Yarrowia lipolytica: one gene and its partners. The protein of the gene in region 1 interacts with the protein of each later gene in a biochemical or structural test. Links are inferred from orthologs where the notes say so. Each region holds a gene or a part of one and is shown in the gene's direction. Other genes may lie near its edges. The genes, in order: YALI1_B21562g, YALI1_D02831g, YALI1_B23061g and YALI1_E19082g.

Region 1 (4,935 bases):
AGTCTGTGCCGTCTTCGTGTCTGCTGCCTTTGCTTTCAACGGAACTGAGCTGGCTGGCCTGGCTGCTGCCGAGACCGCCAATCCCCGAAAGTCCATCCCCACTGCTACCAAGCAAGTCTTCTGGCGAATTACCCTCTTCTATATTGTGTCTTTGACTCTGGTCGGCTTCCTTGTTCCCTGGGACCACCCCCAGCTGCTCAACAAGAGCTCTTCTGCTGACGCTTCCGCCTCTCCGTTCGTCATTGCCATCAAGGCTGCCGGCATCAAGGGCCTTCCATCTGTCATGAACGTCGTCATTATGATTTCCGTTCTGTCCGTCGGCAACTCCTCTATCTTTGGTTTCTCTCGAACTATCGCTGCTCTCGCCCAGCAAGGTCAGGCTCCTTCCTTCTTCGCTTACATTGATCGAAAGGGACGACCTCTGTTTGGCATCATCACAGTCTCGCTCTTTGGACTGTTTGCATTCATCTGTGCCGGTCCTATCGAAACCCAGAACACCGTCTTCTACTGGCTCATGGCCATCTGTGGCCTCTCCTCCATCTTCACATGGGGCTCCATCAACCTGTGCCACTTCCGATTCCGAATGGCCATGAAGGTCCAGGGTCGATCTCTCCGAGAAATGCCTTTCTTGTCTCACGTCGGAACTATCGGATCCATGTACGGCTTCCTGCTCAACGTAACCGTGCTTGGATTGCAGTTCTGGATCGCTCTCTTCCCCGTGGGAGGTGCCAAGCCTAAGGCTGACGTCTTCTTCCAGGCCTACCTGGCTGTACCTGTTGTCCTGGCCTTCTATATCTTTTTCAAGCTGTGGAAACGGCCCAGCTTCGTGGCTCTAAAGGACATGGACCTCGACACTGGACGACGAGAAACTGACTTCGAGCTGCTCATGCATGAGATGGACGAAGAGGCTGCCTACATTGCCTCCAAGCCCTTCTACTACCGAGTTTACAAGTTCTGGTGCTAACCGCTGCATTTAGTGTTATATATATATATTGTTTGTTATTAATTGAAGAGTACAAGGACAAGTGCACATTTCATTCAACTTATCGCTACTGTACATACGAGGAGCGATGGGAGCACTACTTCGGGGTCTGCATCGTACGATACAGTATATATATATACTCATACGAATTGTACAATTACATCACAAGTACAAGTACCCGTACAATTACAGCACAAGTAATAAATATACATGCAAGTATTACTTGTACTGTTTACTCATACTCATACTCATACTGTACATACGTACATACTGTACTTGTACTTCAGACATTTGACACACGCTCTGTCCAACACCCACCACATTGATGACAGTGCACCTCGGCGAGTACTATGTGCTGTGCGCCATGTTTGCCTATAATGTAGAAATAACCTGTTTTTGTCAACCCAAATAACGAGATAAATCCACAAAGCCGCGTTTGTATGTCGGTTTATTGCTTACCCCCTCCGCCAACACGTTGCTAGGGGCTCCAGTTAAGGTTTGAACGCGACGCGTTCTCCTTGCCAAAATAGGACTAAATTAAGCCGGGTAACTAGACGACGTGTTTTCTGCATGGGACAAGAATATATCCCAATCCTCCTGAACACAACACATCGTACCGAAAACCACACACGAACACACCATGGACCTCGTCGACCAATTAATGACCGAGGGGATGGAGGGTCCCTCTTCCCCCGGCCCTCCTTCCTCGCCCGGAGCCAATTTGCCCTCTTCTTTCGCAGGACGAACACCTGGAACCACATCTGCTCATGGAGGCCCTAGCTCTGACCAATACAGAGAACCAGCTGCCATGGATGTACCTCCGGACGAGGAGGTGCGAATGCGGCGAATTATGGAGCAAGAAACAGTTCCCAAGGTTCAGGACGCCACTGGAGAGAAGGTGCGTGATCTATTTGAAGAGTTTCTGGAGACTTACGTTGATGGATCAAATCCGGAAGAGTACTCTGATGACGAGGATGGAACTGCGTATGACGGGCGACCTTACGTACGACAAATCAAGGGTCTTCGAAGTTTCAACAAGTCGTCAATTTTCGTGGACTACAGACACATGAGCGAGACTGAAGATGGTATTCTGGCCCAAGCCATCAGTGACCAATACTACCGATTCATGCCATTTTTGCTGCGAGGTCTGACCAATGTGATTCGAAAGATTGAGCCCGTGCTTCTGCAACAGTCTGTAGGCTTTTCTGAGGATGGAAGTTCGACGTTTGGAGGATCCAAGTCGTCGTCTGCCTCAGATCAGCCCCGACACTTTCAGATCTGTTTCCACAACCTTCCTGTCGTGTGCAGAATTCGGGAACTCAAGACCGACAAGATTGGTTGTCTTATTTCTCTAGGGGGTACTGTCACTCGAACGTCCGAAGTGCGTCCAGAACTGTACTTGGGAGCCTTCCAGTGCCAGGAATGTCATACTGAAGTGGACGGAGTGGAGCAGGTGTTCAAGTACACAGAGCCTTCGATCTGTCCCAACCCCATGTGCGGAAACAAAAAGATGTGGAAGCTGCTGATGGACAACTCTGTGTTCTTGGATTGGCAGAAGGTGCGTGTGCAGGAAAACGCACATGAGATCCCCGCTGGATCTATGCCCAGAACCATCGACGTCATTCTTAGAGGTGAAAATGTGGAGCGAGCTCGAGCAGGAGATCAGATGATTTTTACTGGAGCACCTGTTGTCATTCCTGACGTCACTCAGCTTGGCCTGCCTGGTGTGAAGCCTCGAGCAGTTCGAGATGGAGGCCGAGAAACTTCTGCTGTGGAGTCTGGAGCCGTCACAGGACTCAGAGAGCTTGGAGCACGTGATCTGACCTACAGGATATCTTTCCTAGCTTGTTACGCTGCTCCTGCCAACATTCTGGACGCCTCTGCCAACGACAACTACGCCGAGAACGCTGCTGACGAACAAGAGGAGTACATTCGAAGTCTGAAGTCTGCCGAAGTGGAGCAGCTTCGTGATATGGTCCACGGACAGGATATTTTCCGACGTCTGGTACGATCCATTGCTCCTGCTGTGTACGGTCATGAGACTGTCAAGAAGGGTATTCTACTGCAGCTCATGGGAGGAGTGCACAAGAAGACAGCTGATGGAATTCGACTACGAGGAGATATTAACATTTGTCTGGTTGGAGATCCCTCCACTGCGAAGTCCCAGTTCCTTAAGTACGTCACCTCGTTCCTTCCTCGATCTGTGTATGCTTCCGGTAAGGCATCCACTGCTGCAGGTCTTACAGCAGCTGTGGTTAAGGATGAAGACTCTGGAGAGTTCACCATCGAAGCTGGAGCTTTGATGCTTGCTGATAATGGTATCTGTGCTATTGATGAGTTCGACAAGATGGATTTGGCAGACCAGGTGGCAATTCACGAGGCTATGGAACAACAAACTATCTCCATTGCCAAGGCCGGTATTAACGCTACTCTGAACGCCCGAACTTCCATCCTGGCCGCTGCAAACCCTGCCAAGGGTCGGTATGACCGCAGACTCGGTCTGCGAGCCAACGTGCAGATGTCCGCTCCTATCATGTCTCGTTTCGATCTGTTTTTCGTCATTCTTGACGAGTGTAATGAGGCTACGGATACCGCTCTGGCCAGCCATGTCGTTGACCTGCACATGCATACTGATGAGGCCATCGACCCTCCCTTCTCCACTGAGCAGCTGCAGCGATTTATCAAGTACGCCCGTACCTTCAAGCCCATGCTGACCCCCGAAGCCCGAGCAGTTCTTGTACAGCAGTACCAGCAACTCCGAGCCGACGACGCCACCGGAGCTGGAAACAGTTACCGAATCACCGTTCGTCAGTTGGAGTCCATGATCCGTCTCTCTGAGGCCATTGCTCGAGCCAACTGTTCGACCATCATTTCCCCTGCCTTTGTTCATGAGGCTGCCAAACTGCTCAGAGACACCATCATTCTCGTTGAGCGGGAAGATGTGCTTCTGGACGAGGAGGAGGACACCGTAGACGCTGCCGAGGACGCCGTTGACGAGGCCATGGAAGCCACCCAGCTAGCCAACCACACACCCCGGGACCAGATCACTCACCAGCAATACACACACATGGTCAACATGATTGTGTCCAAGCTATCGGAGAACTACACCGACGATGCCGATGCCAGTAGAATCGGAATGTCGCTGGATGCACTACTGGAGTTCGTGCTGGAGCAATACGAGGAAGATATGGTTGATGAGGAGGATGTGGAGAACCACACTCGGCTGACCAAGAAGGTCATCAAGAAAATGAAGAAGAACAACCTTCTCATGACCGTGCGAGGTAATTTAGACGACCTGGAGGCCCCAGGAGATGGAACTGAGCTGTATGTGATCCATCCTAACGCTGCGGCCGCTGAGTTGGAGGAGACTAGACAGACAGGAGGTGTCATGCCTGATGACGAGTAGGGATAAATGAGCTTTCAGGATAGCTCTCCAGTAATACACACTCAGTTCATACCACACGACTTTAGAGAGTAAGTAACTAATTAATGTATTTTTATTTTTATTGTTTTCCAAGAGATTATTAATTTTATGATCTCCTTGTATTTATAGCAAGATGTGCAAGGTGAAAGCTGATGAAGAATGTTTGTAAATACAGTAAGCCGCCTCTAGGGTAAAATAGAGATGCCTATTAATACACGTACGAGTACGGTAAGTTATATTTCTAGCTTATATAATCACGGGATCTTATACATATTCAACCATATACAAGTGCCATGTATGCGGGGGTGATACGATTTAAGCCTCATTTTTAGAGCCCATGATTCTGCGCAACAGTAGCTAGCCCATGATATAAGACCATGAAGTTAAGGCCATACTTGACGTGTGAAACAGGCCTGATATGTTTTGAAGACGGCTCCAGTAAGTCGCTCCAGTACAACCAATGACACAGGAAGGAGGTTCATGTGCACCACCCAGAAACTCTCCAAACAAATACATTTAGGCTTCGCGT
Region 2 (3,447 bases), on another chromosome or scaffold:
AAGATAGCAGTTGCTGAGTCAGTCGCGGCAGCTGGTAGTATCGTGCATCAATCAGCAGGTATACCGACGTGGCTTCGTCGGAAGACATGATGTAGTAGCCCTGCAAGTGGCGCACAATGAGCTTGAAAATGTCCGGAGACCGGTCGAGAAAAAGCACCGGCGGGTTGTCTTTGTGTTTCAGGAAAAACTCGGTAAAGTACGACGGGCCATCGCTTGATAGAGACGCTCCAGACAAAGTGAATCGCTGATCTCCAACCTGAATCGCGTACATTTGCTCATGGGGTAGAATGGCGGGGATGGTGGGGTCGAAATTACCCTTGGGGTTGATCATGGTGCCACCCACGCGGGAACTGGACGCTGAGCTGGTTGATTGGGGCGTAGTGGAGGCCATGATAGTGACGTGAGAGGCTACTGGGTGTGTGGAGGTGGTGATGTACAGAGGAGGTGTATGTATGATTGAACTTTATTGACAATGGAATAATTTGCGAATAGGGTACAAGATGCTGTGGGCGGATTGATATCGAGAAAATTCGACTGGTGGACATAAGAAAGATTTAAAATGGATTTATCTGGTTCAATTAACGGCATGAGTACTCCAATATGCCCAAACATGGCTGTCTATATCTACGTGCAACAACCTTATCGGGATTATTGTGCATGAAGGAAAGATGACAGAAGGGTGACTAAGGCTGTTGTCAGAGACCAGAGGTCTCGTCTCGCCTACAAGTAGACAACGACTGGCTGGGTTCTGCTGGGATTTTCAGCCGAGTTTTGAAATTTATCGATTTCCCCGACTTCTTTCTGGGTTTTCTTGGATCATCTTAATTTCCCTGAATTTTTCCTGAATTTTTCTGACTAATTGAAAATTTCATTTTCCTCTTTTTTTTTTCTTCATTCTATTCGCTTAATTATTAATTAAAATACTCGAATTAATCAACACGAATCACAGAGTTTCCAACAGCCTCTCAATTCTACAAACCACCCCAAGCCCAGTGGCACGTGACTAAACTAATAATATACAGACACAACCGCTGACAAATACACACAGCCACCGAAACGTGCTACTGGTAGACATCGGCCAGTAGTGCTGTCATCGCTTATAGTAGCTACATACAGTACGTACAGTACGGATACGGGATGAATGGGGAGAAAACCGACGCTAGTTTTGAACTAGTAAACAATTTGATTGAATGGATACTGGTAAACAAAATCATGCTCGTGCTTGTATACGATTTTATACTTGTTTGGCAGTGAATTCTGGTGACAATGCAGTGTCGCCATGCTGACTCCCCATCAAAAATACCCATGATGGAGAAGCGCCAGTCTGATTTGGTTTTGGACACAATCTGCTGGAAGTTGTAACGAGACAGTGTGTAACCAGCACTTACTCGCGTTCTGATTCTTGGTGGAATCGGAATGGGTGACGCGTTGATCTCTTCAGTTGAGCAGAGCAGCACTAACCGGAGAGCTGCCAGGTCGTGCTCAAGACTGTCGCTGACCAACGATTGAGAAGTAGAGAACGAACACACGTTGAGACATCGAGCTGAGACGATATATTGATGTCGATGCGTTATATACTTCAGCTTATCAACTGAGATACTCGTTTACATCAGCGGTGTGGCGTCTCGGTCTCCCATAGAAGCTACAGTACATACTGTACATCTCAAACGCACAACGCCAAACGCGAAATTATAATTAAGGTGCATCAGGATGTTATACTGTGCTAACACACTCACACACAATACAACATGGGTGGATATTACGATCTGGACGAGATTCTGATGGAGGGTCAGGTGAGTACACGGGATGGCATGACTGCAGCGAATAGTGCATTTATCAGGGAGTCCATTACCTGGATGGAACTTGCACGCTAAGATTGTGACTGAGGCTCAGCTTGAGTACGAGTCAGATTCTAGTACGAGTAGAATGGATCTCGTCTAGACGAGCTCTCTTCTGTCCCCATTTGCTCACACCCATTGCTAACACAGAAAATCCCTTGCCGATTTGAAGTTGGAGTCCCGAACTTGGGCTTCTTGGAAGGACGAGGACGGAAAGACGTGAGTATGAGGTTATGGAGAGGTCGGGTTGGATACGGAGGTGGTCCCTAGGCCAAGTCCGCTATGATATAGCTGGTCTATATGATGAATTAGCTGCGGTGCCCTCCCTGGTCCTGTCTGGTTCTGCATACGTTTGATGTGCTCTTGCGATTATAAGTTGAGACTGCCTACACACAGCTTGATATCGTCGAGGTCAATGAACTTCTAAATCATGGGCTTGACCTTTGTTTGTTAACTTCTGATGTTCTGATCTGCTCTTGAGAGCTAAATGAACATATTGTCGGCCAGACTTGCTTCCTGATGAACTCATGTCCAGCCTTTGGAGCCCTCTACGTGTTGTCAGTGGCATTCTATTATTTGGCGACACTCTTGTTCGCTTACGCGCACCGGTCCACGGACTCCCGGTTTTCGTTTCTCTCAGCTAACCAAGATGAACGAAGGTACAATCATTGATCTCCCCATTTGGATCGCAGACGTGCTCTCACAGTCTGAATACGACCCGTATTCCGGCAACCAAGAGTGTTTTGTGACCGTCAAGATCCCGCACGCTCTCAAGCCCAGTGTCTTGAACGCTCTCAAAACGGATGCTCCTGGCGTCGATCTTCGATACCAGTCTCCTCTCTTCTTTGCCCTGGCCATCTACTACCTAGAGCTCTTTGAAGACGAGGAACTGGAGACTATTATCGCCACAGCCATGGCCGAGCGGATATCGGATATTTATGACAATGTTGGCCGACGAGGAGAGTTTGTACACAAGTACGATGAATTTGAGAAGATGTTGTACAAAAAGGGGTGTGCCTCGAGACGGGCGTATAAGGAGTACATGGCGACGATTAAGTATTAATCGAACGAAATGTGTTTCTTGACTGGAATTATACTGCATACTAATGAATTGATGGAATGGATATAAAGCTAAAGAGCTCTCGGTGTCGCGCTTCTAGCTACCTGCGATACTACATATATATATGGAAGGGACGTCCAGCAGGAGAAATCTGAAGGGGACACTGTAGCTGACTCATGGTGAATACAGGCTTACAGTAGAGTATAAAGAGGCGCTTTTTAGTTGACTACTGTACTGTAGCACTGTCCGTACTATTTCGCAGGGACTTCCAATATGGCCATTGTGTGATCTCGGATTTACTTGGCATTTTGTTAGATATACTTAATTTTTGAGAAAAGGTTCAATTAATATTGAATCTTATACTAAAGCATCCAACTATCTGTAGATAGTCGCTCGCTGAGTTTAGCACAACGACAAAGTACAGTAATAAATATTTTGGTGCAGCATGTACTGTACAATTATGTACAGCTTGCTCACCATCTAACACCAACCGCAATTCCATCCCCCAACCCCTCTCCCTCTTCTTCCACATACACTCTCCTCCTCGCT
Region 3 (3,130 bases), about 150 kb from region 1:
AGAGCAGTGGGCGAAATGGTGAGATTTCGAGCTGCCTCAGAAGACGGCTGTAGCAAAATCTTCTCCTGTGGTTTGGCGAGAATGTCGGGGGACCACGTGCAGATGGTTCCATCGGTCGAAGCAGACACCAACGAAGATGCATTTTGGGTACCGTAGAGGTCCAATGCCAACACAGGGTGTGAATGGGCACTTCCGGAAAGTGGAGAGGCCAAAATAGCCTGTGAACTGGACGCCCTCATGTCCCACACCATGATCTGGCCGTTATAGAGGCCTCCAAACACAAGTGTGGGGTGGAAGGGAGAGCACAGCACCGAAGTCACGTCCGAGTCTGCCACAAACGTGTACTCGGGCTTAGCAGGCATGTGCATATTCCAAACCTTCACACAGCCTTTAGCCTCCGCAATGGAGTCGCGTTTCTCCGTGTACGATGCCACCAGCAGCTCGGGGAAGGAGTGCGACCAAGCAAGATCAAGCACGGCTCGTCCGTCTGTGTCTGAATGGGAAAACTGGAGAGACTGCGACACGAGCGCCTCTTCATCATGGGTTGTAGTGAGTCCCTGAGAACCATAATCTGTGAGAACATCAAATTTTTGAGGTTTGAGCGACCGTTCCACCACCTTGAGCGATTGTTGCACAAACGGAAGCAGGTCTTCGGAAGCCGCAGCAGAAGGCTCTGCGAACACAATACTAACGTTGTCATCTGGAGGCGGAATTGAAACCTGGGCCGGGTAACTAGAAATGCTGGGCTCCTCATCCTGTGTCCCAGAGTCTGGTCTGGACGCGTCTGCTGCTGTTTCGTCGCTGTCGAGATCAATATCGTCATCAATGGGGTCGGTCTGGACCCCCTTTGAGTAGCAGAGTGGCGGTGATGTTGTCCGAGTTGTAATCGCAGCGGCTGTAGAAGTTGAAGCTGACGCTGATGCTGTGTTGGAAGTGGCTGATGTATCAGGACCCTGAACCACAGGAACTTGATCAAAGGCATCAGCAATGACTATGGAAAAAGATCCTGGGGTGTCGTCAATTCGAGTAGTCACCAATGAGTCTACCAGCTGGTCGATATCCTCTTTAGAGGGTGCTGCTCTTTGTGCCTGTGTTAGTAGGTTCCCCCTGGCTGTGTTTGTGTGTTTGTTGAGACTCACCTCCTGCTGTTGAAGAGCTTCTCTGGCCTTTCGCATCTCTGCGATTCTGGCCCTTTTGGCCTCGATCTCGCTGCGTCTGCTCGAGCTCATTTCCAGGCTATTTGTGAGCGTTTGCAAGCACTAGTGTGTGTGATGTTAGCTGTTCGTGTTCGTGTTCGTGTAGCGGTGTGCAGTGAATAAAGGGTGCAGTTGTGATGCACTGCAACAGTCAAGTGGATTTAGAATATCTAGTGAGGATGTCTTAACAAAATAGACGTTGGGGTGGCACGGGTTTGTGAGGCTACGTAGGAGAATTGGGAATATAAATTACAACTGAAGAAACGAAACAGCGTTCACGTCACATCATCAACGAGAAGTATTTCGGAAAAATCTTTTTGGGGAGATCCAGAATAACAGCGTAGCAGAGCTACCTTAGTTTAGATGTTGTAAAAATACCCGCCATTTAGCCGCCGTGTGAGAACCTTAGTGTAACCATCACCTTGGGCGTTTGAGACCTTAGTAATATAATTTTTAGCAATTTCTTGAGCTTTACACGAAACCAAGGTACATATATATAGCTACGATTGATGTACCAGGTAGCTACCGGCTACTGGGTACTTCCACAGCGATTCCTGCTTAGACACGCACATCAGGACCTGCACGACGCGTCAACTTAATTAGAGCACATCAAAAATTCGTCACGCACACAACACAACGATATCAAAAATGGAGGAGGACAACTTGGACTTGGAAGGCATGGACATTCACAGCGGGCTCGACTCGTCGTTCCACTCACCGCCGCACACATCTGATCCAGCGGGTCTGAGCATGGATGAAACGGACGATATTGATGATCTGATCAACAACGTGCGACCACACGACCCACTAGGTACTTTGGAAGAGAAGGAGGCTGATATCAAAGAGTTGACACATTCATGGGTGACTGAGCGAATGTCACCAACGCTTCTTCCGACGAAGGAGGCGCTGTTGTTCCGGATTCTCAAACGTGTGCAGCTTCAGATCGAGGTGATTGAGGAGAAGTCGATAGACATGAGTCCGGACACAGACGTGAAGCTGGAACTGCTGATTGTGGAGACGGAGCTGGAGCGTATCAAGTACCTGATCCGGTCGTATCTGCGCGTGCGACTGCTTAAGATCGATAACAGCATGGAGTACTACCAGTCTTCCCCCTTGGACAGAATGAACATGTCTCAAACAGAGAGAATGTATCTCAACCGGCACTATGCGCTGTTGAAGAATCTGTACGCGCATCAGTTTATGAACACGTTCCCAGACAGTCTCAAACAGATGAACGACTCTTCAGGAAGTGCAAGCATGGTTCAGGAGCCCAACATGGACCATCCAGTGTTTGTGCGAGTAGTCAAGGATACAGGACGAAAGATTATCATTGGAAACGATTCAGTCAAGCTGCGAAAGGGTAGTATCGTCGTCATCAAGTACTCCATCATCGTGAAGTATGTTGAGAGTGGTGATGTTGTTTTCATTTGATGAGAGAAGGAAAATGAGGTGAAACAACTCGACGGGGGAGTTCATGGAACTAATGCTGAGACACGCAAGCTGTGGGCTGTTAGTTATTTTGTGAAGTTGACGCTCGCATGCTACGTTATTGACACCCGTACATACCGACGATTGTGTGTCAAGAGCTCAAGCAGCTAAAATATGACAATCGCCCACTTGCCTTGTCTGTATCATCAGTTACTCGACGAAGCCTTAAAAAGCAAGACACTTCAACGTGGTCGAGACGTTTAGCATGTATCTAACTCACCATGGAGACCCTGCGCGGGCGACCTGGAAGCTGTACATACAGATGCTTACCATAAATAGAGACATCTAATTGTAAAATGCATATCATCATTAACCCTTAGTGCTTCCAGGTAACGGTATTGGTCGCATTGGACTTGGTCTTGGGCAAATTGCGCCTTAGTTACCACTTAACCCAAGTAAAATACCATGCATCACAGAATCTCACCTATAAAGACAAGACTATCAAA
Region 4 (3,157 bases), on another chromosome or scaffold:
GAATATCTTTCTCTGGCCCGCTTCGCAACTCTCAGACGCACTTTTGCCCCAATTACCCCCACCGCAAGTTGCTAGCACATGCCCCTGAAATTAAAGGCATCCCACCCTGCACTGAGACACATGAAAGTTGCCAAGCAAAAAAAACAAAAAACAAAACAAAAAAAGAACACCTGAAAACAGTTACGTCATGACGATTATCAGTGGTGTGAGAGGTGGTGTCGGTAGGACGGGGGGAAATGGCTCCACTGTGCTCCAGATGGACCACTTCAAGAGATCCTATCGGCACCTACTGGCAAATGTTTGTACGTTGCACCACCCTTGTCTTCCTCTTCCACAGCCCTCGTCAACCACAGTTGCCACATTCATGTCTCTCATTTTAGTGTCTCTTTCCGAATACTCCGTCGATGCTGTTTGTTGATATGTTGCTATACAGGATGCGTAGATGCTGTACGAGTACCGTTCGGCAGCGAAAGCGGTACGCGTGGAGAAAGTACATTCAAGTTGAACATTGACTTCCCCTTCTGACCCTCATCTAATTACAGGACCTACAAGTTCGGCGGTACTGTAAAGTACGACCACGGGTACGTCTACCACTACCACTACCACTACCACTACAGTACAACTACTCCTCCAATGGTACTGTACGTCGCAAATGACGTCACGACAGTATGAAACAGTGGTATGAGTTGGGAGGATTACGTCAACAGATCGACAAGTTCGAGTACTTTCCCGAACCTCAGAGCTCCGAACCTCAGACTCCGAACCTCAGACTCCGAACCCTTGCCAACTTAACTCCGACTCAAGTCCAGTCCTAAATCGATCTCCAACTCGACCTCCAACTCGACCTCCAACTCGACCTCCAACTCCGATGACCAAATCCAAGACTTGGTCGCGATCGGAGTTTGGAGTTTGGCGCAAGACCGACTGTGGTTCTCCCGGAAACTAGCAATCTAATGACTAATGACTCATGACTCAAACCATCCCGGCTGGTGCGCAGACATCCGGCTGGTGCGCAGACATCCGGCTGGTGCGCAGACATCCGAGAGCTCTATCGCTACAAGTACTTGCTTTGCTCTCACTAAATGTCTCACACTCTATCTTCGTCGGCCAGCATGTGAAGGCATCAAATCGGAGGTGGGGTGTCAGAGGATTACAGACGGTGTCAGAGGACTACAGACAATTGTTATCGTTCACTTGGTGGTTCAGATGACGATTCGACCCCTGCCAGACACGAGTATTTGTAATAGCTTTCCACGGGATTCCCTTACCGACGACCATCAAGTCCATGCCGTTGATGAAAATGTTCATGATCAGATCGAAACACATGCTCGTGACGCGGTAAAAGAATATCTATGACATGCCGTCTTGTGCGCACCACCCCGAGATGGAAGAGGTACTGTAGAGCCGATGATCGGCATCCTTTCAGACCAGGAGAACTGCTATGAGTACCTGAGCATAAGTGAATGGACCTGACACGAGTCTGGGGAACGCTGGTGTTTGAGGTCCTAAATACCGAAGCAAGGGCGCCTTCAGAACGGTCGTATTCTCGACATTTGCCCCCAAGGGGTCTCCAAGAATACGGGTTGTGACTTCATAGACATTTGGAATAGAGCTACCAGAAGCTATCTCTTCATAAAAACATCAAAACTTGCATGACCATTTGCCACCAAAAACCGTCACTATCCCATGACACGCCGAGTATTCGTGGTCGTATCTCCAATTTAATTCTCTCGGTAATATTATACGCCTCGTAATCGAACCCACAATCTTTCATCATGCATCATATATGCAGGATAATTTCAACGGAAACGCGTGAAGTGATTAGATTAGCCATCGTCGCACACCAACCAGCAAGAAGAAGAAAAAATGTCGGTGCCAGCGGAACAGCTGGAGACCTTCCTGCCGTCGGAGCTGCATTTCATGGCGGAGAATGAGACCATCGAGATCCTGCCGCGACGAGTCGGCAACCCCATCAAGCTGGCAGGCACAGATCTGCCTCTCATGCATCCTCTTCGAAAGAACAGAGTCCCCATCTGGATGGCCATCGCGCTCAAGAAACAGCAGCGGTGTCAGTTCGTGCCCCCGGACTGGATGGAGGAAAGCAATTTGCGGCGGATCTTGGCTTTTGAGCATGCCAACCCCACCGCGTTCTCCAACGTGGATTTCCACTGGCTGGAAATCGCCCAGATTGTGCTCACCACCGCTCCAGACGACCTCACCTCGCCGCCACAGGTGATCCGAAACCTCGTGCGAGATATCCGAGAGGTGCGGGAGCAAAAAAGTCGACAGGGTATGAAGGAGGTCAACGAAAACATGCTGCAGATGGACCGACTGGGGGCTCTGGAGATCAACGAAATGAGACCGTTTGTGGTAGAAGGCATGGAGGAAATGATCAAGATCCGCAAGGCCGGCAAGAAGGAGGAGCCCATAATCTATTCGGAAAGTGACAACCCCGAGGACGACGAGGATGATGAGCCTACTTATGGACATGACGACGAGTCTTCGTTGGCTGTGCCTTCATCTCAACTGGACTCTTCGTTGCGATATGGAGACCGAGTGGACACTTCGGAAAGAAGACGAGAGTTGTCTCAGTGGGATGATAATGTGCCGCAACAAGGCGGCCCCGAATGGTGATGTTTCTCAGATACAAGAACACATCTTCCAACATGTACACTAATGAATATATTTATTGTAATCGAAACCGACCAAATTGAAGTATTGAGGGGCAAGCCACGACTAATGATAAGCTACGTACTGTACATGTTGTTACAAGTACAGGGTACGAGTATGTACTGTATCGTACAAGAATTTACGGAACCTTGTAGGTTTGGAGACTGCAATGACTTAGCATGCATTGAATCTACCAGCACCCACAATATCATCAGAAGAAATGGAATTGGCGTTACTTGGTGGTGGTTGCTGGTTGTTCTTGTCGCTCTTGCTCTTGTGGCACAACTAAACATCAACTTCGGTAACCTTGACCTCCTTGAAGGTGACGAGCAGAAGGGCAATCTCCTGGTTCTCAATGAACTGCTTGGCGTCGGGGTTGGCCTTCTCGTGTTTAGCAAGGTACTTTTGGGCCTCGGCCAGGTCCTCCACCACTCGTGCGGAGCCATTGAGAGTCACACTCATGGAGCTGATCTCGTTCTGGTTGATG

What was found.
Region 2: the proteins of YALI1_B21562g (region 1) and YALI1_D02831g form a complex in vitro, tested with the Saccharomyces cerevisiae proteins (2 studies listed by BioGRID). The link is inferred for Yarrowia lipolytica from reciprocal best matches to the Saccharomyces cerevisiae genes MCM6 and PSF3.
Region 3: the proteins of YALI1_B21562g (region 1) and YALI1_B23061g form a complex in vitro, tested with the Saccharomyces cerevisiae proteins (2 studies listed by BioGRID). The link is inferred for Yarrowia lipolytica from reciprocal best matches to the Saccharomyces cerevisiae genes MCM6 and SLD5.
Region 4: the proteins of YALI1_B21562g (region 1) and YALI1_E19082g form a complex in vitro, tested with the Saccharomyces cerevisiae proteins (2 studies listed by BioGRID). The link is inferred for Yarrowia lipolytica from reciprocal best matches to the Saccharomyces cerevisiae genes MCM6 and PSF2.

What each region holds. Positions count from the first base shown.
Region 1 is NC_090771.1:2,154,647-2,159,581, forward strand, and holds YALI1_B21562g (uncharacterized protein), read left to right. Parts: upstream 1-1,622; coding exon 1,623-4,388; downstream 4,389-4,935. Other genes in the region: YALI1_B21538g (uncharacterized protein), read left to right, coding at 1-964; YALI1_B21594g (uncharacterized protein), read left to right, coding at 4,784-4,844. UniProt on the Saccharomyces cerevisiae protein: Acts as a component of the MCM2-7 complex (MCM complex) which is the putative replicative helicase essential for 'once per cell cycle' DNA replication initiation and elongation in eukaryotic cells.
Region 2 is NC_090773.1:282,224-285,670, reverse strand, and holds YALI1_D02831g (uncharacterized protein), read left to right. Parts: upstream 1-1,748; coding exon 1,749-1,793; intron 1,794-1,988; coding exon 1,989-2,057; intron 2,058-2,487; coding exon 2,488-2,901; downstream 2,902-3,447. Other genes in the region: YALI1_D02852g (uncharacterized protein), read right to left, coding at 1-391; YALI1_D02804g (uncharacterized protein), read right to left, coding at 3,372-3,447. UniProt on the Saccharomyces cerevisiae protein: Functions as part of the GINS complex which plays an essential role in the initiation of DNA replication by binding to DNA replication origins and facilitating the assembly of the DNA replication machinery.
Region 3 is NC_090771.1:2,304,275-2,307,404, forward strand, and holds YALI1_B23061g (uncharacterized protein), read left to right. Parts: upstream 1-1,844; coding exon 1,845-2,627; downstream 2,628-3,130. Other genes in the region: YALI1_B23055g (uncharacterized protein), read right to left, coding at 1-1,229. UniProt on the Saccharomyces cerevisiae protein: Required for DNA replication. Functions as part of the GINS complex which plays an essential role in the initiation of DNA replication by binding to DNA replication origins and facilitating the assembly of the DNA replication machinery.
Region 4 is NC_090774.1:1,906,343-1,909,499, forward strand, and holds YALI1_E19082g (uncharacterized protein), read left to right. Parts: upstream 1-1,866; coding exon 1,867-2,634; downstream 2,635-3,157. Other genes in the region: YALI1_E19070g (uncharacterized protein), read left to right, coding at 634-641, 694-946; YALI1_E19098g (uncharacterized protein), read right to left, coding at 2,956-3,157. UniProt on the Saccharomyces cerevisiae protein: Functions as part of the GINS complex which plays an essential role in the initiation of DNA replication by binding to DNA replication origins and facilitating the assembly of the DNA replication machinery.